Kluyveromyces lactis: one gene and its partners. The protein of the gene in region 1 purifies or fractionates together with the protein of each later gene. This does not show direct contact. Links are inferred from orthologs where the notes say so. Each region holds a gene or a part of one and is shown in the gene's direction. Other genes may lie near its edges.

What was found.
Region 2: the proteins of UTP10 (region 1) and UTP6 purify together in Saccharomyces cerevisiae (affinity purification with mass spectrometry; 5 studies listed by BioGRID). This does not show direct contact. The link is inferred for Kluyveromyces lactis from reciprocal best matches to the Saccharomyces cerevisiae genes UTP10 and UTP6.
Region 3: the proteins of UTP10 (region 1) and SOF1 purify together in Saccharomyces cerevisiae (affinity purification with mass spectrometry, with the first as the bait; 5 studies listed by BioGRID). This does not show direct contact. The link is inferred for Kluyveromyces lactis from reciprocal best matches to the Saccharomyces cerevisiae genes UTP10 and SOF1.
Region 4: the proteins of UTP10 (region 1) and SKI6 purify together in Saccharomyces cerevisiae (affinity purification with mass spectrometry; 4 studies listed by BioGRID). This does not show direct contact. The link is inferred for Kluyveromyces lactis from reciprocal best matches to the Saccharomyces cerevisiae genes UTP10 and SKI6.
Region 5: the proteins of UTP10 (region 1) and BUD21 purify together in Saccharomyces cerevisiae (affinity purification with mass spectrometry; 4 studies listed by BioGRID). This does not show direct contact. The link is inferred for Kluyveromyces lactis from reciprocal best matches to the Saccharomyces cerevisiae genes UTP10 and BUD21.
Region 6: the proteins of UTP10 (region 1) and MTR3 purify together in Saccharomyces cerevisiae (affinity purification with mass spectrometry; 3 studies listed by BioGRID). This does not show direct contact. The link is inferred for Kluyveromyces lactis from reciprocal best matches to the Saccharomyces cerevisiae genes UTP10 and MTR3.
Region 7: the proteins of UTP10 (region 1) and RRP45 purify together in Saccharomyces cerevisiae (affinity purification with mass spectrometry; 5 studies listed by BioGRID). This does not show direct contact. The link is inferred for Kluyveromyces lactis from reciprocal best matches to the Saccharomyces cerevisiae genes UTP10 and RRP45.

Annotation. Positions count from the first base shown.
Region 1 is NC_006042.1:1,973,755-1,978,002, forward strand, and holds the start of UTP10 (snoRNA-binding rRNA-processing protein UTP10), read left to right. Parts: upstream 1-1,448; coding exon 1,449-4,248. Other genes in the region: KLLA0_F21164g (uncharacterized protein), read right to left, coding at 1-526. UniProt on the Saccharomyces cerevisiae protein: Involved in nucleolar processing of pre-18S ribosomal RNA. Required for optimal pre-ribosomal RNA transcription by RNA polymerase I together with a subset of U3 proteins required for transcription (t-UTPs). Involved in ribosome biosynthesis.
Region 2 is NC_006038.1:119,427-122,426, reverse strand, and holds UTP6 (snoRNA-binding rRNA-processing protein UTP6), read left to right. Parts: upstream 1-1,135; coding exon 1,136-2,500; downstream 2,501-3,000. Other genes in the region: YML6 (mitochondrial 54S ribosomal protein uL4m), read right to left, coding at 1-356, 525-563; chromatin-binding transcription regulator ADA2, read right to left, coding at 2,594-3,000.
Region 3 is NC_006042.1:1,438,215-1,441,546, forward strand, and holds SOF1 (rRNA-processing protein SOF1), read left to right. Parts: upstream 1-1,395; coding exon 1,396-2,832; downstream 2,833-3,332. Other genes in the region: KLLA0_F15576g (uncharacterized protein), read left to right, coding at 1-919. UniProt on the Saccharomyces cerevisiae protein: Required for ribosomal RNA processing.
Region 4 is NC_006040.1:813,273-815,772, reverse strand, and holds SKI6 (exosome non-catalytic core subunit SKI6), read left to right. Parts: upstream 1-1,262; coding exon 1,263-2,000; downstream 2,001-2,500. Other genes in the region: GPI14 (glycosylphosphatidylinositol-alpha 1,4 mannosyltransferase I), read left to right, coding at 1-944; FYV8 (Fyv8p), read right to left, coding at 2,077-2,500. UniProt on the Saccharomyces cerevisiae protein: Non-catalytic component of the RNA exosome complex which has 3'->5' exoribonuclease activity and participates in a multitude of cellular RNA processing and degradation events.
Region 5 is NC_006037.1:682,612-685,124, reverse strand, and holds BUD21 (Bud21p), read left to right. Parts: upstream 1-1,260; coding exon 1,261-2,013; downstream 2,014-2,513. Other genes in the region: KLLA0_A07645g (uncharacterized protein), read left to right, coding at 84-902; Mn(2+) transporter ATX2, read right to left, coding at 2,124-2,513. UniProt on the Saccharomyces cerevisiae protein: Functions as part of the small subunit (SSU) processome, first precursor of the small eukaryotic ribosomal subunit that coordinates the first two steps of ribosome biogenesis in transcription of the primary transcript pre-RNA and pre-18S processing.
Region 6 is NC_006042.1:1,688,687-1,691,083, reverse strand, and holds MTR3 (exosome non-catalytic core subunit MTR3), read left to right. Parts: upstream 1-1,186; coding exon 1,187-1,897; downstream 1,898-2,397. Other genes in the region: CHO2 (phosphatidylethanolamine N-methyltransferase), read right to left, coding at 2,079-2,397.
Region 7 is NC_006039.1:952,774-955,474, forward strand, and holds RRP45 (exosome non-catalytic core subunit RRP45), read left to right. Parts: upstream 1-1,283; coding exon 1,284-2,201; downstream 2,202-2,701. Other genes in the region: RNH202 (Rnh202p), read left to right, coding at 1-942; KLLA0_C11121g (uncharacterized protein), read right to left, coding at 2,426-2,701. UniProt on the Saccharomyces cerevisiae protein: Non-catalytic component of the RNA exosome complex which has 3'->5' exoribonuclease activity and participates in a multitude of cellular RNA processing and degradation events.

The DNA of each region.
Region 1 (4,248 bases):
CAAATTCGTAGAATGCACCATCATGGACCAAACTTTCTTCACCAGGTAACCATGGGATGGCATCTGGGTGTCTTTTACCGTAACAGTCTCTCAAAGCCTTGGTCGTTTCAAGTTTCTTCAACGAACCGAAAAGATTGGCACGAGGAGAACTCATAGCGTGATGTCTGGGCCTTCTGTCCTCCACGGTAATAGAAAGCTTGCCGTTATCCTGATAGTTTCTCAAAGTGGAGGAAACGTTCATCAAGACCAAGATTGGGTTACCTGTGGAATTCACACCCTCACATAAATCAGAAGATACATAGTATTCTGGGAAAGTCACCGGAGTCTTTCCATCCTTCAAAGTAGAAACATGAACCAAGTCACCATACTTAACAACACCTCTAGCAACCTCAGCAGCGTATTCACGAGTTAGGTTGAACTCTTTCTCCTTATGAGAGGACTCTCTCAATTTCTTATCGCACCCTTCGCGTGCAGAAACGGAATCTAAAGCTAAAGCCAAAGATAACAACAAAGTACTACACTTCATGACTGAATTATTAATGGCTCAATAACTGATGTCGTTATTTGGATAAACAATCTCTCCGCAAGTTGTAACCCCTAAGCTCATCGCTATTCAATCTTGATAGAAGGTTCCTTAAACCTGTCGTTGCCTATATATAAAATAAACGGTACAAAATTTATAATGCGGTAAATTACATAATGCAAACTAAGGTAAGGAAGGTGCTCAGCCTCAAACTTCCGAAAAAGTAGTTTGTTTACCAGAAGAAAACATTTTTGCAGTTCACCCAAGCCTTTGCATTGAGATTGGTTCGGACGAACCATCCGCCTAGATCTCGGATCTAAGTTTAATCGCAGAGACATCGCCGCATAACCACATCGCTCCAGCCAGGTGTGTTTTTCTTTTGTTCTTATATGAGCCGGTCCTTTGCTGAAAAGCCAGTCTGAACGCAGGCCCAACGCACACAACTCACACACACCCTCAAATGGAAACGTTGAGGCATTGCTAAGTAGATAGCTGCTATGAGCCTTGTTTATGCCAAACATGCTTATACGGTTGGCTGAGATCCGAAATTCCTCAGAAACTAGCCATTACTTGTAGTGTGACCTTGCACGGCACATGATGTATTGAAACAACTCTTAAGTCTGTATGTACTTCAATAGATCCGAAAGCAGGTGGAAACTGACCAGTAGCTTGCATATTGAGCTACGGGGAGACTTGACCCAAGTTTATGGTATCACTCCATTTTCATACACGTGACCATAAATGAATTTCTTTTCACCGCAGCATGAACAAATCGAAAATTTTAAAGAGTGAAAGAAAAAAAAAGTAGCGATGAGATGAGATGAGATGAGGTTCAAATCGTTGGCTTTGCAATCATCTCCTGGCGATAGATTTTTGATCAGGTTCGACTTGCTAGTACTCCAGGCAACGGCAGAGACGATATAGAATGTCATCTTTACGTGATCAATTAGCGCAGGTAGCGCAGAATAACGCTACTGTTGCTCTTGATAGAAAGAGAAGACAAAAGTTACATTCTGCGTCTTTGGTTTACAATCCGAAGACTGCTGCTACTCAGGACTATGAGTATATATACGATACAGCGTTGGAATCGTTTCATACTTTGGTGAGTTTGGACTTGAGGTTCAAAGTTTTCACTAATTCCTTATTCAGTGCATCTTCCGTGACCATTGATAGAAACGTTCAAACAAAGGATCAGATTAGAGATTTGGATAACGCAGTTAATGCGTATTTGATGTTGATTTCGCCGAAATGGCATCTAACTCCAGCTTTGCATGCTACGGAATGGTTGATTCGTAGGTTCCAAATTCATATCCATAACGCCGAAATGCTTCTTCTATCTACTTTGAACCAATACCAAACGCCGGTGTTCAAAAGGATCCTCAATATCGTTAAGCTACCACCTTTGTTCAACCCATTTACCAATTTTGTCAGAAACGATAAGAATCCAACCGATTTGACGTTGATCAAATTGTTTAACGATATGGACTTCTTGAAGCTTTATTCAAATTATCTGTCCAAGATTATCAAGCAAAAAGTTACCTATACGAATCAACTGCTATTTACCACATGTTGTTTCATTAACGTGATCGCTTTCAATGCGAACGATGAAGATAAGTTAAATAAATTGGTCCCATTGATTTTGGAAATTTCCGCAAAACTTTTGGCATCGGATTCAAGCGATTGTCAAATGGCTGCTCATACTATGCTCGCGGTACTTGCCACCGCATTGCCTTTGAACAAAAGCATTATCATTGCGGCTACGGAAACTATCTTGGCCAATTTAAAGGAAGACGATGCTAGAAAAAAAGCTCTCGTCACAATCTCAAAACTTTTCCAAACCTTGAAAGGTGTAGGTAATGTGGATCAATTACCGGTCAAGATCTATAAACTCGTTGATAATTCTTTCCCATTCGAATATCTACTACAGTTCCTGAGTAATGAAAACAAATATTCCTCAGATAAATTTTTCACTGCATACATTAGGTCTGTCATCAGATATGATCATGATAAATTGAGTCAAATTGTCAAAATCTTAAGGAAGATTAAGTTGGAAAAATACGAAGTTAGATTTATCATCACTGATTTGATACATTTATCTGAAGTTCTAGAGGACAAGTCACAATTAATCGATGTTTTTGAATACTTCATTTCCATTAACGAGGGACTAGTTTTGAAATGTCTTCAAGCACTAAACCTGACCGGAGAAGTTTTCGAAATAAGATTGACAACTTCATTATTTTCCGTCAAGAACAGTGCGGAACAATCTGGTGAAGATATCATTAAAGTTCTAGATGATGCTAAAGCATCAACCGCGAATGGTTCAGCTGTTCCATTTAAAGATTTCATGACCAAAAACTCAGAGTTCATCTCCACTAAAGCGGAGTCTATGCTTCTTGTTAAAGATGAAAAGTTTGTCAAGCTGTTGTCATTATTTGTGGAAGCTGTAAGTAAAGGATATCAACCAGGTCTATTTTTATCCTCCTTCTTCACTACTTTAGAGAGCAGGATAACGTTTGTGCTCAGAATCATCGTATCCCCTGGTTCGCCTGTTGCTCTCAGATTGATTTCACTAACACAGTTAAGCAAATTCATCAATGGTATAGATGAGCAAACGGATCTTTTCTCTTTGGTACCTATTCTAGTGACAGCATTGATGGATATTTCTAGATCTGTTCGTTCCAACACGAAAAAGGTTCTACAACAGATAGCCAAGAGACCTTTCACAGCAAAGTATTTCCTATCTAACGTACTCTACGGAGAGAATTTAAAGGTGCCAATGTTAAGTCCGAAAGATAGCAAGTTTTGGTTGACCAACTTTTTAAGCGATTACATCGTTGAAAGTACAGATATTTCATCCCTCGTCATTCCATCCAAAAATGACATGGTATATATGCTGTTTTGGTGCAACCAGGCACTGCATCTTCCTCTCGCCTATTCGAAGACTATAATGTTAAAGCTCTTGACCGCTGTGCCACAATATGCTTTTACATATTCAAAGGTGTTCGAACAATTTATGGCCACATACATCACGGAAAGAAGTTCCTGGGAAACGAAGTGCATCAAAAATAAAACCAATTTCAAAGACTTCGAAACTGCGGTATGTGCCATTGTTGCACCAAAAGAAAAAAACAGTTTCGCGATAGATTTTTTGATTAACTGTTTGGAATCAGAATATGAACAACTTTCGAATATCATGGCAGACAGAATTTTATCTTTGTATCCAACATTGAAATTCCCAAACCAATTAAAAATTGTTCAGAGTATAATAGACTCCTCAGTTGACAAAGAACTATCATATGATGGTCTAGAAACCCTTCAAAGTCTTCCATTAACTGCAGATATTTTTGTCTCTGTGTTGAAAAGTAATACCATAAACAGCGAAGATCAAACAGATTTGACTAAACGTAGAAGAAGAAGATCGTCTACGGTTAACAAGTCCGCCCTACAGAAACAAGATATTTCTCAAATTGCCGAAGCCCACCTAAAGAAAATGACTATTATTCTGGAGACTTTGGATAAATTGAAGGTAAAGAGTAACGAAAATCTATTGAATGCCTTATTCAACCTTTTGTCCGACTTGGAAACTTTAGACCATGATGGTGGTTTGCCTGTACTTTACGCTCAGGAAACTCTGTCCTCTTGTCTTTTGAACACTATTTCTTCTCTAAAATCTAACAACGGAAGTATGAAATTACCCTCTATTAGAGCAGATATACTAGTCGCTG
Region 2 (3,000 bases), on another chromosome or scaffold:
GCTGTGGTATAATCATTTGGTGCAGTTCTTGCTAGAGCTCTACCACCGTTATGCCTTATTGGTGAATTAGCGTCACCAGCTCTGGCCATACCAGATCCCTTTTGTGGTAAAATCTTTCTTCTCGAATAACCAACATCACTTCTGCCTGGGGGGTTAGAAGACCCAACACGTTTACTGTCATTTTCGTAAACAACAGCACGCCATAGTAAGTCTCTTCTCAATGGAGCATCAAATACTGAGGTTGGCACTGGTGCAAATGTCAATGGTTCTAATGATGGGAATGAACGAACCGTTGCTAAGGTATATTTTGGCGGTAGACTAGCATTAGGAAGGGGTTTGTTGGAAACGTAACGGACCTGTAGAGAATAGGGAAAAGAGTAACAAAAAATTACGAGCAATAGTTAGTAAATCGATCTTCTAAAAGTAGGTGATATAACTGCTTAATGCGGAAGGATATCATCATGCAGTTTGAGGAAAGCCCGCGCTTTACCATTGCAACAGTGATGAAAATGGGTTTGACATACGTTTTTGCACAAATTCAAACCTTGTCTCTTGGAAAACATGGCTGATTCTGATACACTGACTTAATGTCTCGATACAAAGGGGATCAATTGGACACTCCTATGTCTGATCACCGCAAACAAATCAATCATCTTTAGTATTCAACCTATTTCATATTCAGATTTTTGATTATCGAAAATTTGTCTACCATGTAAAATATCCGGGTAATGTTAAATTGCCCGAATTAACGATCAACAAAACTGTCATCTTGTATGAAAGCATACAACGACATTAAGGGTCGCAGTTTATGGTAGTCCCGAATGTCATATGTAAGCGGATTCAATTTGCAGTAAAAAAAAATCCGATTTACGCTAGCAGAACAACAATTGTACTTGTCCTTTTGTTATTCATCGATGGTTATTTAAATGGAGGACTTTATTCTGACTGATTATATGAAAAAGAAATCAATATAACCAAAAAAATTCAAAAGCTTCAAGGCTCATCTCATCTCATCTCAGTATTATTTAGCATGAACAAAGCCAGTAGTCGTTTCCTTTGTCAGTAAGCGAGCGATACGAGTCTCCGTGATTACACTTTAATCAATACTTAACATAAAACTACCCAGAGTAAGGCGATGTCATCCAGAACAAGATATTACTTGGAACAATGTATTCCAGAAGTTGATGACTTAGTGCAGAAGAAGTTATTCACTAAGAATGAAGTAAACAAAATTATGAAGAAAAGGACTGATTTTGAACACAGATTGAGTTCGAGAGGTTCAAGTATAAGTGATTACATCAGATATATTGAATACGAGAAGAATGTCGATGCATTAAGAATGAAACGTGTTAAACGTATCTTGCAATCGAACAAATCAAATAGTATTTCGGATTTTACCATACAGCAGAGGATTCTCTATATTTTCCAAAGAGGCTGCAATAAGTTCCCAAAAAAATTGAAATTTTGGTCTTTATATTTGAATCATTTAAAATCAAAGGGTACAAATGCCTCTTATAAAAAGATTCAAAACGTCTACAATCAATTGCTCAAATTACATCCAACAAACGTTGACGTTTGGATATCATGTGCTAAATATGAATACGAATTGCACGCAAACTTCAAGAGCTGTAGAAATGTTTTTCAAACTGGTCTTAGATTTAATCCAGATGCTTCTAAACTCTGGTACGAGTACGTTAAATTCGAACTGAATTTCGTGACAAAATTGTTAAATAGAAGAAAAGTGATGAATTTAATCAACGAAAGGGAACAAGAGCTAGATATGCTACAACAGCAAGAGGAAGGAAGAAACTCCAGTAATGTAACAGGTCTGGAAGAAACTGCAGATGACGAAGCATACTTTGACAAAGACGGAATTCAACTTCCAAGTACTGGTGACAAGATGAAAGATAAACTAAACGAGTTACCAGAAGCCGATATGAATATGCTTGGATCAGAAGAAACTAATCCAGCACTACGTGGTGATGTCGCATTGGTTATATTCGATATCGCAATGAAGAATCTGGGCACATCTTTTGTCAAGAAACATCAAGGATACTACGCCGTTACCAATTCGCAAGTCGATGAAGAGCTCAGCAGAAACGTTATGTCCTACCTGTTTGATAGATGCCTCGAGTATATCAACTTATTTTCGGAATTTCAAGATTTAAAAAGAGAATATCTGATAAATCACGTATTGCAATGGCTAAAGGACGAACATTATAATATTTCCCTTGAGAAAAGTATGCCAGAAAAATATGTGGAATTATTATTGCATGATGTTACATTAAATATCAAATTCATGCCTGCCGGCGAATTAAACATCGACAGTCTCCAATTGTCCTTCAAAAAGTATTCTGCATACATCAGCAAATTAGATGAGACGAATGCCAAACAACTTACTACATTATATTCTGGTTATTTGACCCAACATCTATTATCCAATATGGATAAATCTGATTCGAAGTATGCTATTTTGAATGCTATTATCAAGAAACTGTAATGAGACACTGTATACACATTTTTATGTACATATTTGACATTAAGTAGTAAGGTAAGCAGTGGAGCCAATATTTCCACAGTTTTATAACTCTAATTAAACCCAATTCTGAGAAACGAAGAAATCATAGATTCTGTTGGCCTTCGTTGCCTCGATATTCAATAAATCACGACACTGTTTCTTCGAGAGTTGACCTGCAGTCCGTATTAATTCTCTGAATAGTACCTCTTTGATGGCAATGTAAGGCTTTGGCAAAATTTTCAACGTTATGCATAACTGCTGTTCCTCAGCTGATAATAATTGGAAATCTGCCCCATGCTGAATGTCACTGATAGTCATTAGTTTCTTACGTCCACTTCCTTCGTTATAATTTTGAGCATAATCAGCTTGCGATCTATGGGCCGAAGTAGCTCTATAACGGGCAGTGTTACTAGATGAAGAAGAAGAGTACACTTGACTTCCAAATCTTTCCAATGTCATAATTCTTGCTTGTTTATCACGTT
Region 3 (3,332 bases), about 540 kb from region 1:
TCGTTGTGGATTCAACTCTAAATGGGATAGAGAAAAGCTGACCCCCAACGGTGAATGGGATTGGGATCTAGATTCTATGACCAGATATGACCTTGAAGCCCTTATTGAAAGTGTCCTCCAAAAAAAGCAAAATAAGTTTGAGAAGCTTACCTTAGTGGCCCATTCCCAGGGTACCACACAAGCTTTTATGGGACTTGTAAATGGTGAAGAGATCTACAAAAATACAGAGTTCAGATTGAGTGATAAATTAGATAATTTAGTTGCATTAGCACCTGCTGTTTATCCCGGTCCACTACTCGATGAAAAATATTTCGTTAAGTTTATGGCGAAACACATAGATAATCGCTGGGTATTCGGAAACAAATCATTTGTACCAATGATGATGGAGATGAGAAATTTGTTGGCCGGACACAAGATATTCTCATTTTTGTCTTACGTCATGTTCAACTACTTGTTCAACTGGAACGATATTTTATGGGACAGACCCTTGCGTGATAGACATTTCCTATTTTCTCCAGTGCATATATCTGTGAAATTGATGCAATGGTGGTTAAGTCTTAACCCTTTAAAGTCAAGCTTCAAGACTTTCGCCGAAGACATGTTCCCCGACATCAAGACCTGGTTCCCAATACAAAATGAAACAGTAAGTATGGATGAACATTTACACAGAAATCAACATAAACCTTTGCCAGAAAATTGGCCAAAGATTTTACTCTTCACACCCAGGCAAGATAGACTTGTAGACGGAGAAAGATTGATTAATCACTTTATCAACCACGAACCACACTCTGTCTACAAAATCTGGTATATTGATGAGTATTCACATTTGGATGTTCTATGGGCCAGTGACGTTATCGAAAGAATTGGTAACCCAATGCTTGCACATTTGAGAATTCCGAAACCGACATTTGCCAGTTAATTAATACAGATAACTTTGAATCACAGACTAGAATGGAATTTTGACACTTTGTTTCCATTTTGTGCAACCCAACATATAGATATACAGTTCTGCAATCATTACATTTTTTGTAAGATATATAATATACTAATGACACTACTTAAACGGTAAAAAAAGGGTACACAAAGATAATCCCAATACAGCTTTGGAAACTCAAGTACTCAGTGACTGTAGCAATGGCTAAATCATGTTGTTGTTATTTTAATAAGGTCTTTAACTGTCATCTTATATCGTCCTTGTATATTCGGCATAATTTCTTTTTAACAATTTTTCAAGTTATCGAAATGCAAATCTCATCTCATCTCATCGCATCATAAGCAGTGAAAGGGAATGGGAAGAGGAAACCACTGGAACTGTTTCCATATCATAGTTGCTGATTAACTAGCACAAGGTCTACCATATTTAGTGCCAACTGGGGATATTGAAAGAATAGCGAAATGAAGATCAAAACTATCAGCAGAAGTGCCGATGATTATGTGCCGGTGAAGAGCACACAAGAGTCTCAGATGCCTCGTAATTTAAATCCGGCTCTGCATCCATTCGAAAGAGCTAGAGAATATACAAAGGCTTTGAATGCCACCAAGCTTGAAAGAATGTTTGCTAAGCCATTTGTCGGTCAGCTTGGATACGGTCACAGGGATGGTGTGTACACCATTGCAAAGAATTACAATGTATTAAACAAACTTGCTACGGCTAGTGGTGACGGTGTTATCAAGTACTGGAACATGTCAACTAGAGAAGAGTTAAGTTCATTCAAGGCACATTACGGTATGGTTACTGGTCTGTGTGTTACTCCTTCATATTTATCTCCACAAAGAGAAAACTTCATGCTTTCTTGTGGTGACGATAAGACGGTGAAGCTATGGTCAGTGAATTCTGACGACTTTTCCAACGTTAAAGATGATACAAGATTGAATACAGATGAAGGTATCATCAAAACATTCCATGGTGAACATGCTTTCCAATCTTTGGATCATCATAGACAAAAATCGAATTTTGTTACTGGTGGTGCCCAAATCGAACTTTGGGATACAAACAGATCAAAGCCAATATCAAATCTTTCATGGGGTGCGGACAATATCAATCATGTTAGATTTAATCAAAATGAGGTCGACATTTTAGCAAGTACGGGTAGTGATAACTCTGTGGTTCTTTATGACCTAAGAACAAACTCTCCAACACAAAAAATTGTTCAAACCATGAGGACAAACTCTATCTGTTGGAACCCAGTGGAAGCCTTCAACTTCGTAATTGCCAATGAAGATCATAATGCTTATTACTATGATATGAGAAATATGTCCAAAGCTTTGCATGTGTTTAAAGATCATGTTAGTGCTGTTATGGATGTTGATTTTTCCCCTACTGGTGACGAAGTTGTAACAGGCTCCTATGATAAGACAATCAGAATTTACCAAGTTAAACATGGTCATTCGAGAGAAATATATCATACAAAGAGAATGCAGCATATTTTCCAAGTGAAATATACCATGGACAGTAAGTATATAGTAAGTGGTTCAGATGATGGTAACGTTAGACTATGGAGAGCCAAGGCATGGGAGAGATCTAATGCGAAGAGTACACGTGAAAAGAATAAGTTGGAATACGATGAAAAACTTAAAGAAAGATTCAAGCACATGCCAGAGGTCAGAAGAATTAGCAGGCACAGACACGTCCCTAAGGTTGTTAAGAAAGCTCAAGAGATTAAGAAGATTGAAATTGATTCTTTGAAGAGAAGGGAAAGAAACGAAAGAAAGACAAGGAAAGACATGCCATTTTTACCTGAAAGGAAGAAACAAATCGTCGGTACTGTCTTTCAATACGAGGACGACAAGAAATCTAATTCGAATAGATCCAACGATTCCGAAGATGAATAAAATATATGAATTTCTATCAGTTTTGAATTAGATATTTATAAATTTGTAACGTTAATAAGCTCGAAACATGTCTCTTTTTTCTTGAAGTTATAAATCAAGGTAGTTGATCAAGTTTTCCTTTCAATGAAAAATCGTTTTTAGCAAGGAACTATCTTTTACCGAGATTAGCAGATATCTTCTTTATAATTTGAATCATGGGTTGCATGTAACGAATTGAATCCTTTCATATTCTTTTACAGTATTAGATTAGAAGTATAGTTCCATAATAAAAGTGAGAGAAAAAGAAAAAAAAAAAAAAGAGGAAGTGAACACAAGAAGAACCAGCCTTGCTTGCCCAATATAATATGATGAGTATTATAGTACTAATGAGTCTATCAATTTGAAACTATGGCAATGAATATTAGAGAGAGGGAGAGAGAGAGAGAAGAAGATGTGGTCATGCAAAAAAAAAAAAGACCCAATATATGCAATCGTTTGCATAAACAAAGCATAAAATGAAT
Region 4 (2,500 bases), on another chromosome or scaffold:
TATTTGATCTCATTACAGGTGTGATGATCATAAAACTATTACAAGGTTCATGTCAATTGACAAAACAGCTAATTCTAGCTTCTATTTGGTTATTGAACCCGATTGTTATAACGATAAGTACTCGAGGAAACGCTGAATCGGTTTTATGTTTTTTGATCATATGTGCTTTATACTTTTTGAAAAGAGACAGGTTACTTATTTCAGGACTTTTCTATGGGTTATCGATTCATTTCAAGATCTATCCGATAATCTATGCGCTACCGATCGGAATATATCTCTTGTTGTCGAGTCACAATAGAAACTGCATTTGGCGATTGTTCATGATAGGGATATCGACGCTAATCGGCATAACTGCGCCGACGTATTTCATGTACAAGCTTTACGGGAGCGAATTTATCGAACACTCGTACATGTACCATCTCACGAGAACAGACCACAGACACAATTTTTCGATTTGGAACCTGGTCTTACTCTTAGAATCTGCTGGTATTCATCTTTCCCAATCTATCGAACTATCTAAGCTGGCATTCGTTCCTCAATTGACACTATGTGCAGTACTACCTTATCTATTGTGGAAATCACAGACGTTCGAAAATTTAATGAATGTCCTATTCGTACAAACATACGCATTCGTTACTTTCAATAAAGTATGCACTTCTCAATATTTCATTTGGTATTTGGTATTATCCCCATTTTATTTCGCAAATACAACCATTACATGGAGAAAAGGTGTGGTCTGTATATTTTTATGGATATTGTCTCAAGCCGTATGGCTTTCACAAGCATATCTACTTGAATTCAAAGGCCAAAATGTATTTTTCCCCAACTTATTCTTTGGCAATATAGTGTTTTTCCTCATCAACGTCTATCTACTCGGTGTCTTTATCACTGACATCAAATCCAGAACGTCATTCCAAGACAATCAACATAAGAAGAATATATAATTTTAACTTAGCATATACTGTAGCGTACTGTGACATTTTCAAAGCCACGATCGAAGTCCTGACGAGTATTTTGATGTTCCATTCCGTTCATCCAATTTCATATCCGTTGTCAGATTCACTCGCTGCTGTTTTCTTCATACTGATTATTGAAATAGAATTTGAAAAAAAAAAAGTATTCAAGTTTTGAATCTTACAAGTGAAATATGAGCTCATCGACATCTACTAGAAGAAGTACATTCAAAGCAGAGGCTGTCAGATTGAAATTAGCCCCTCCAGCTAGCGTGTAGGAAAACCCACTTTAACTAACAGAGTAACATAATGTCACGTTTTGAAATATATTCTCCAGAGGGATTGCGTGTCGATGGTCGTCGTTGGAATGAGCTAAGAAGTTTCAACTGTTCCATCAACACTCACCCGAATGCTGCAGATGGATCCTCGTACTTGGAACAAGGTAACAATAAGATTATCACATTAGTTGCTGGTCCTCAAGAACCATCCTCGAGGTCACAAGTCAATACGAAACAAGCTACTTTATCCGTTACTATTAACTTAACGAAGTTTGCCAAGATGGAAAGAAGCAAATCAAGCCATAAGAATGAAAGAAGAACCTTAGAATGGCAAGCTTCGTTAGTGCGTACATTTGAAAAGAACTTGATGCTTCATCTCTATCCTCGTACGTCAATTGACGTTCAAGTTCATGCTCTACAGTTAGATGGTGGGATTCTTGGGGCAATGCTTAATGGAATAACATTGGCTCTGATAGATGCTGGTATCGCAATGTATGATTTTGTAAGCGGGGTTTCAGTGGGACTTTATGATACTACACCACTACTAGACCTTAACTCGCTTGAGGAAAATGCAATGAGCAGTGTTACCATAGGCACAATTGGTAAATCAGAAAAATTATCTTTATTAATGGTGGAAGATAAAGTGCCTTTGGATAGACTTGAGAGTGTCATGGCCATCGGAATAGCAGGCACTCACAGAATTAGAGATTTAATGGATAAGGAGCTTAGAAAGCATGGAAAAACAAGAGTTGAAAACTCTTCGAATTGATTTTTAAACCATTAATTATAAACTTCACATAACATGTAAACATAAATGCATTCTACAATTCGGATCTTGCCTTTAACTACAATTTTTTACCTATAGATGAGAATAACCCCTTAGATTTTTCTCTCATGCTGCTAGAAAACATCTTCTTCTTCAAATGTGTAACATTTTGGTTCACCGTATTTGCGACGCTGTTCTTTTTACTCAAAATATCCGCTTGAGCATAAGCATCTTGAACATGTTTATTGACTTTGTAGTCTTTGAAGATAAAATCCTTATCAGATGTGGTAGAAGACTTCAAAGCATATTGGATCCAGCTCTGGAGTCCGGAGTCATATTCTTTTAATTGTTCCTTGTAATTGTTTAATTTTTTTAGTTTTTGGGAGTGAAGCTCATTACTGCTTAAAAGCTTGACCAAGTCTAGATTCGGGACAGTTGACTGGTGAACCACTGATGGAATTTCATCTCCTTCAGAACTGAATGCTTCTTTTAATTTTGATTCA
Region 5 (2,513 bases), on another chromosome or scaffold:
ACGTTCTCCAACCGTTCAAGGTCGAGATCTGAATCTAGATATTTAGAGAGAACGTCAGCTTCTACTGTACAGAGCTAAATCATATGAAGAGCTTATTGAATAAGCGGTTTTCGCCTAAACGTCGAAATAAACCAATCACTTACGCACCAGCTTCAGCAGCGAAACCTAAACCCAAACCCAAACCTAAACCCAAACAACTGGACCCACCAATGCAATCCGGTGAGAGCAGTAGCCAGAAAAGCAGCACTCCCATACCAATCAAGTCTATATTAAGACCTGTTGATGGCACGCACGAACATGAGAATAAATCTGTCCGCATTGTGGAATCTTCACCACATCCGGAGTCTGTTCCAATCAGCACACCAACTAGGATAATAGTAGGACCATTACCTGATGGAAATGTTAGTGACTCTTTGGTATATAATGCCAGCGATTTAGAAAAGGGTCATATCGGCGTCGCGGAGGAATCGTCACCGCTACTAGAATCACAGTTGCCTGATTTGACAACATACCAAACAATTTCCCCAGAGTCCAACCCCACTGCACAGATACATTGCTGGTCAACACCCTCGTTGCCAATTCCAATACCACCACCATCAAGCGATCAGCCATGTTCAGGCGACCCCGTGCAGTCACCCTCAATTCCCCCATCCAGGGAATCACCATTTACCAGTCCGTTAAGTCGGTTCTTGCAAATGCTATACGCAAGATATCCTGTCATCATAACTTATATCCTAATCACCATCTGTGTCATTGGGATAATATATTCTTTAGTAACAGGAACTGGTAGATCATATCTCTTGGTTATTATAAAGGCATGTATATGCTGGATAATGGGTACAGACGTGGCAAGAATGCTTTTTGGTACCCAGTTCTGTGATATTGAGTTTAAAGTGTCATGATGTTTCAGTACTGCAAGCTACACATTAAATACCATTAGCATAGCAATAAAGTTGATATAAATTGATATAATCTAACCAACAAATAGCACCAGAACCAGCCAATACACAGCACAGTCCGTTAACGGGTGATGAGCATTCTACTCGTAGTCCAGTGTCAGGAACAAAATCTTCAGCACGTGACCTCTATTTACGTATCATTTCTTTTCGAAGTGAAAAATTTGGACAAAGCGATGAGATGAGATGAGATGAACCACTGGAACTAGTCCATGAAGCAGGTCGTGTTACCGTTCTGTCAGTGTTTCTGTTCAATTGTGCATTGGATTAGACAAGTGGCAAGAGTTTACTGAGAAATATAACAATGGGTTTGAAGAAAGTTCTAGGTTCTGGTGCTGCACTGGTAGCGAAGAGACACTTGAAGTTCGATGATGATGCGGATGATTCATTCCATACAGCTGATGAGGGCAACTCTACCCTAGATGCTCTCAAACCAACAAAAGCAGAAGCGAATGGTGAAAGTGAAAGTGAGAGTGAGAGTGATAGCGATGCGCCAGAAGAAGAAGGCTTGAGTAGTGGGAAAGATGCTATAGAGAAAAGGATTCAGGAAAGAGAAGAGGCTGCAAGGTTACAAGAAGAGGCAGCTAGAGAGAAGAGACGAAAGAACGAGAAAGTGTTCAAGCAACAGCAGCTAGAGAAGAAGAAGAAGCTGCTCGAGTCTGAGGAGGAGAAACAGAGAGAAAAGATGTTAGAGTTTGAACGACAATTAGTAGCGCAGCAGGGTTCGGATAATGATGAGCCGGAAGAGTTACCACAAGAGTTCTTTGATGAGCTAGAAAGTGGATCTGCATCTTCCTTCGCAAAGGCTACGCCGAAACATATTACTTTCTCGGCAGAAGCGCAAAGAGAAGAAGAACAGGCCCTAAAAGAAGAATTACGGAAACAAAAGAAGAGATCACTAAGGGAATTGAGAAAGACCCAAATACAGAAAGGACCTGTCACTGTGAACTTGCTATCGTCGATGAAGGTATCTAAGACACTGGCTCCAAAAAAGGAAACCAGTGTCATGAAATCAAAGGATAAATGGTTGAAAAGAAGAAGTCTCAAACGTAAATAGAAGAGGATTTGTGCCCACATGTACCTATCTATTCAAATATACAGGTCTTTATACATGTGATTTGTCTCGTGTATAATGTATTATCTAAAAGAGGAGTTTCCTGATTGGCTTTAGCTATCATGAGGAGCGAAGAAAGAGATCATTAACGGGATAAAGATACCCAAGAGTAACAATCTGACATCTGGAAGTGATTCTTGTTCTATTTTCTCTTCAGTGGTAACACCTTCGCCCATCTCTAAAACAGAACCCGACACTGGGATCGGGCCATCATTCTGTAACTGTTGTTCCTGGTCCTTACTTGGTGAGATCAACGCAAGCAATGAAGCATACAATAAACTACTACCGCTCAGAACCAATAGCCCATCGCTCATTTTCTCGATTAGGTCCTTGCTGACGAATCTCATCAGGATCACGAATAGCAACCCGAACGGTGTGGATATACTGAATGCAATAAGATTAGAGATTACTTGTAGTTTGGGTAATCTCTGTTTCGAAATCAT
Region 6 (2,397 bases), about 290 kb from region 1:
TACTCGTTGTTCCCTATGTAAAGATGTATGTTGGCCTTATTCAACGGCTTTCTGCCTTGATGTTCTTGTTTTTACGATTCAATCTCTCTTAGATTGTTAGTTTTTGTTCAAGAAAAAAGATTGTAGGTTAACTGTCATTCATGATATTCTGTCCTACTGCAACTTGTTTGAATCAATGGACATTCCAAGTTATATGGTTAGACTTTGAGCAATATTCGCAGAGTAGTTTGATTTTAATCAGAGTCCTGGGCTATTGGTGGGGTGTAATATCAAAAATCTTTATAATTTCTGCCAGATGCCTGGAAGAAACGTTACACTAACAGAGTCGGTTTAATTCAAAAATGTACTTTGGTCATCCTTTTCTTCGGTGGTTCAACCAATGAACGAATGACTTGCCTTGATTCTTGAAACCTATGCATGAAAGAGCTTCTGGTGAGAGCATTAGCGAGGGTTCGGCTTTCGATCTGGTCCAAGTGAATAGCTTCTGACTTTGTCTTGATGATACACCCAGAAACGATACTGGCTTTTGTATGTACGACTGGCAAGGCGGGTTAGAGTGGGGTGTTTTAGTTGCCAAATCCCAGGTTGTGAGGGGGGGGTCTCCGTCTGCCCCTCCACCGGTTTGCGAAAACGGTCACCTGGCATGAACCGGAAACAAGTGCTGTTTGGAAACATATGAGAAACATATGAGAAACACCAGTTAGTCACGTGGTTATATAACTTCACAAAGCAGTTCTCTCCGTTTCCTTCTGACGTATGAGGTGATGAGCCGAAAGCTAGTACACGACTCTTTTTCAGAAATACGGATCTATTACTATTTACTGGTTTGACAATACCGGGCGACAGCCACTTCTTCTGTTTAGAAATCATTTCACACGTACTGATCGTCGGTTGATTTGTAAAAAAGTTCCAATGCTGCCTGCCGATAATTTGGAAACAAGTACGGTACGGAAACAAACGGGAAACAAATAGGAAACACATATATATTATCACGTGATGACGTTAGAATTTTTCCATCTCGACTATTTCAATCGTGGTATTCTGTTAGTGACCGTTTTGCAAGTGAATATACATGCGATGAGATGCTTCCAAGTTGACGTTGGCTAGTGCCATATCAGCATATATTTACTTGAGTTTGTTTCCCATCGTTATATTAAACTAATACCCACAGAAGAGAGGTCTATTAATGAGTGTGCAAGATAGAAGAAGAATATTAGGGCCAGCAGAAGCGAAGCCATTGCAGTTTGCTGCAATTACTCCTGTAAGAACCGTAGAGAACAGGGACGATGGTAATGGTAATAAATCGGGTAAGGAATCTGTGTTCATTAGTACGGATTTAGTAACGAATGCAAATGGTTCCTCATACCTAGAATATATGGATGGTACTTCGGATCAAGTTCTCGTAATGAGTTCTGTCTTCGGACCCAGGCCATTGCGAGGCTCCTTCCAATCTAAGGCATCAGTATCGATTCAGTTCAAAGAAGTTACGTTAGAACATTTGAATACCGGAGAAATTAAAGAAATTTGTACTTTCCTAACAAATGTCTTTAATGCGGTGATAAACGTTGAGAAGTATCCAAAATCTGGTATTGATATCTTTATAGATTTGATCCAGCATTCTAATAGTAATCCAACAGAGGAGGCAAATATCGTTAATATTCTACCCACATGCATTAATTCTATTACCATGGCTCTTGTAGACGCAGGTATTGAAATCATTGATTTAGTGAGTGCCGGGTCAAAAGATAACTCTGTGGTTGCGTTTATTAGGAATGGACATGAAATCGTCGGTATTTGGAGCGATGACGATAACGTCACTGACATATCAAAATTAATAGAAGAGTGCAAGGCAAAATATTTGGTAAATAAGCAGACTTTGGTTCAATATCTTAAATGAAATGAAATGGTTAACGTAATTTCATAGTGATTCATAATTAATGTGACACGAACGCTTCTTCTGTATTAGCAAAATAAAAATATACAAGGCTTTACCATTAAGGGTGAGGATTCGTTAGAAACATATCCTATTTATACATGGGTTGATACTTTAGATATAGTTAAGTACAATAGAATGCGATTTATTCCAAGTTATCTAACACTTGCTTGATTTGCCATACTTTTTTGGTGATAATATCGATATCAAAATTGGTACGTTTCATGTAAACAACGGAAACATCGGTGTCCATAGTAGACTTATACCAGTTTTGTAATGTTTTCCCAGTGAAATATTTGTTCCTATTCAAATCAAATTTATTATCATTGATTAGAACACCACATTGTTTCAAGAACTGCTTCGTGGTAGCAATTAATTGGTCCACGTCTTTTACAGTTTCTTTAAATTGAGGGAATAATAACTTGAAAGGTTTCGAGATCATAACAACATCGTGACTGTTAGCA
Region 7 (2,701 bases), on another chromosome or scaffold:
GAAATATTTGAACTTCCACATCCATCGAATAACGAATCAAAGAAACCTATCAAACTGTTTGTACACGACGATAAAGTATACCAGCTTAAAATCAAAAAGTTCAGTAAAGGCTGTGACTATAATTGCTCGCGAGATTTAGTGAATGATAAATATCATTATACTTCAGATTCGCAAACATTTAAATCCACATTTTTGATCAATGAAGAGAACAGGAAAGATGGACACATACTAGAAGATGGTTCGATACTATATGCCGAAAAATATGACTTAACTTTTAATATATGTGGGTATTATTATAGGAACAACAAAGTTACTAGTGAGGATCTAGCGTTTATTACACCTTGCGTTCCACCCGCACTCGATATGGATACTAACTTTTATACTAGTTCTGATTACCAAGAGAAATTAACGAATAATCACAGTGAAAATTGGGAGAAGATACCTCCAAAATTATGGGAAAGTTGTCTCGGGAAAATATCACATACAGTGGAAGAAGCTGGTGACAAGTATTATCGTATCGAACCTCAAATGATAGTAGAATGGCTACTGAAGAAAGTCATCAAAATCAACAACAACTTCCCTACTTCTCTTAAAATACCAAAATCGCTACCTGAAGATATAGCATCATCTCTGAAATGCATAATGTCGTGTAATCTTCTAGTTTCCTTGATCCCACAACTCGCATACCAGGATCTAATTAGACATGAATCTTCAAATCTTAACATCAAACAATGTTTCGACTCATACGACAAGTACAAGAACGAAACATTACAAACAGAAAGGGAAAGAGAGCTCCTTATCAAAGCTGCTATGTCTACAGCCATTCCAAATGGCACAAAAACCGTAAAGAAACAACCTATTCAAAAGGCTAAAGTTGTGAAACCAAAGGTTGCTAAGGGTAAAGGAAGAATTGACGGATTCTTCAAAACTAACAAAACATAAGTAAGGGCATATAATAATTTCGTAGAAATATCAGTATTGGATAACCTCTATCATTTTGACCTAAAGCTTCACATAACATGCCGTTGTTGAGCTCTAAAATAATTGATCTTCTTCCACTTAATACCTGTCTACAGGGTCTTCCTCCTAGAGAAACTCGCATCAATTTTGTTTTTATTCCTTTTTCATCTTTCTATCATATCAAATGAGACAAAGCTTATGAAAGATTTAGAACTATAACACTTGAAAAGTTAAAGAGTTGCGATGAGCAGCACTGAAAGAGAAAACCATAGCCGAAGAGAGCTTGCATTCGCATATCAAAATAGTTAAATCGATAAGAGGTGATGGCAAAAGATATAGAGATCAGTAATGCTGAATCCAAATTTATCCTGGAAGCGTTAAAGCTTAAACAAAGATTAGATGGACGTTCATATGACCAATTCAGAGATGTGAAGATCGAAATAGGTGAAGCATACGGTGATGTGACTGTTACCATGGGTAACACAAAGGTACACTGTCGTATCAGCTGTGAAATTGCACAACCTTATGAAGATAGACCGTTTGAAGGACTTTTCCATATAAGTACCGAAACTACACCGATGGCAGGTGCTCAGTTTGAGAATGGGAACAATACTGGAGAAGAAGAGGTATTGATCAGTAGGATGATTGAGAAAGCTGTAAGACGATCAGGAGCATTAGATGTAGAAGGTTTATGCATAATAGCTGGCTCCAAATGTTGGTCTCTTAGAGCTGATGTTCACTTTTTAGATTGTGATGGTGGACTAATCGATGCCAGTTGCATTGCTGTAATGGCTGGGTTACTTCATTTTAAGAAGCCCGACGTTACTGTTCTTGGTGAAAGAGTGACGGTACATCCGATTGATGAAAGAGAACCTGTGTCACTAGGTGTTTTGCATGTTCCAATTTGTGTGACGTTTTCATTCTTCAATCCAGACGATACAGAAGAAAATATCAAAGGTGAGGACAATGCAGAAATATCAATCATCGATGCTTCCTTAAAAGAGGAGCTATTGAGAGATGGTGTGCTTACTGTGACGCTTAATAAAAACAGAGAAGTTGTTCAAATCTCCAAAGCAGGTGGTTTGCCGATGGAAGCTTTGTCGTTGATTGATTGTTGTCATAAAGCATACGGAATTGTAGAAAAAATCACTGATCAAATTCATCGTGTTGTGAAACAAGATACCATTGCAAGAAACCAATACGCACACATTTTGAGCTCTGAAAATGCTCGTGAAACTTAAGGAGCATTGTATCGAAGAACTGGAAGCTTTTCTTCAATTATAGATTAATGCTTATGGTTGTACCATATCCCAAGACACTTGGCAGCTAGAAGTCGTTTAATCCATGCCGTTCAGCGCGTTTGATATTGTTCTGTACTATATGTTGTATGTATGAATATACAAATAATGTATCTGTTTGGTGGATATATGAGAGTGTATGCTGTGAATATCTTAGCGATAGTGAATCAAATATAAAGTCTGGTCATGTCTCTTTCTGTTGAGGAAGTCACTGATTCTTCCCGAGCGTTAAACTTTACAATATGTATTAAATTTGGATATCTGTTCAAGTCGTTCTTTTCAAATTCGAATCCGTTTCGTGAATTAAGTTCGGGATACAAATCTCGTTCATCCAACATCATCATGTGTTTGTCAATAGAAATTTGTGTCTCTGGTGCAGAATTCAAGTACCGCTCTTCTGCCGCCAAAATGTTCTTCGAATTAGCCCAGTATGTTACTGTACA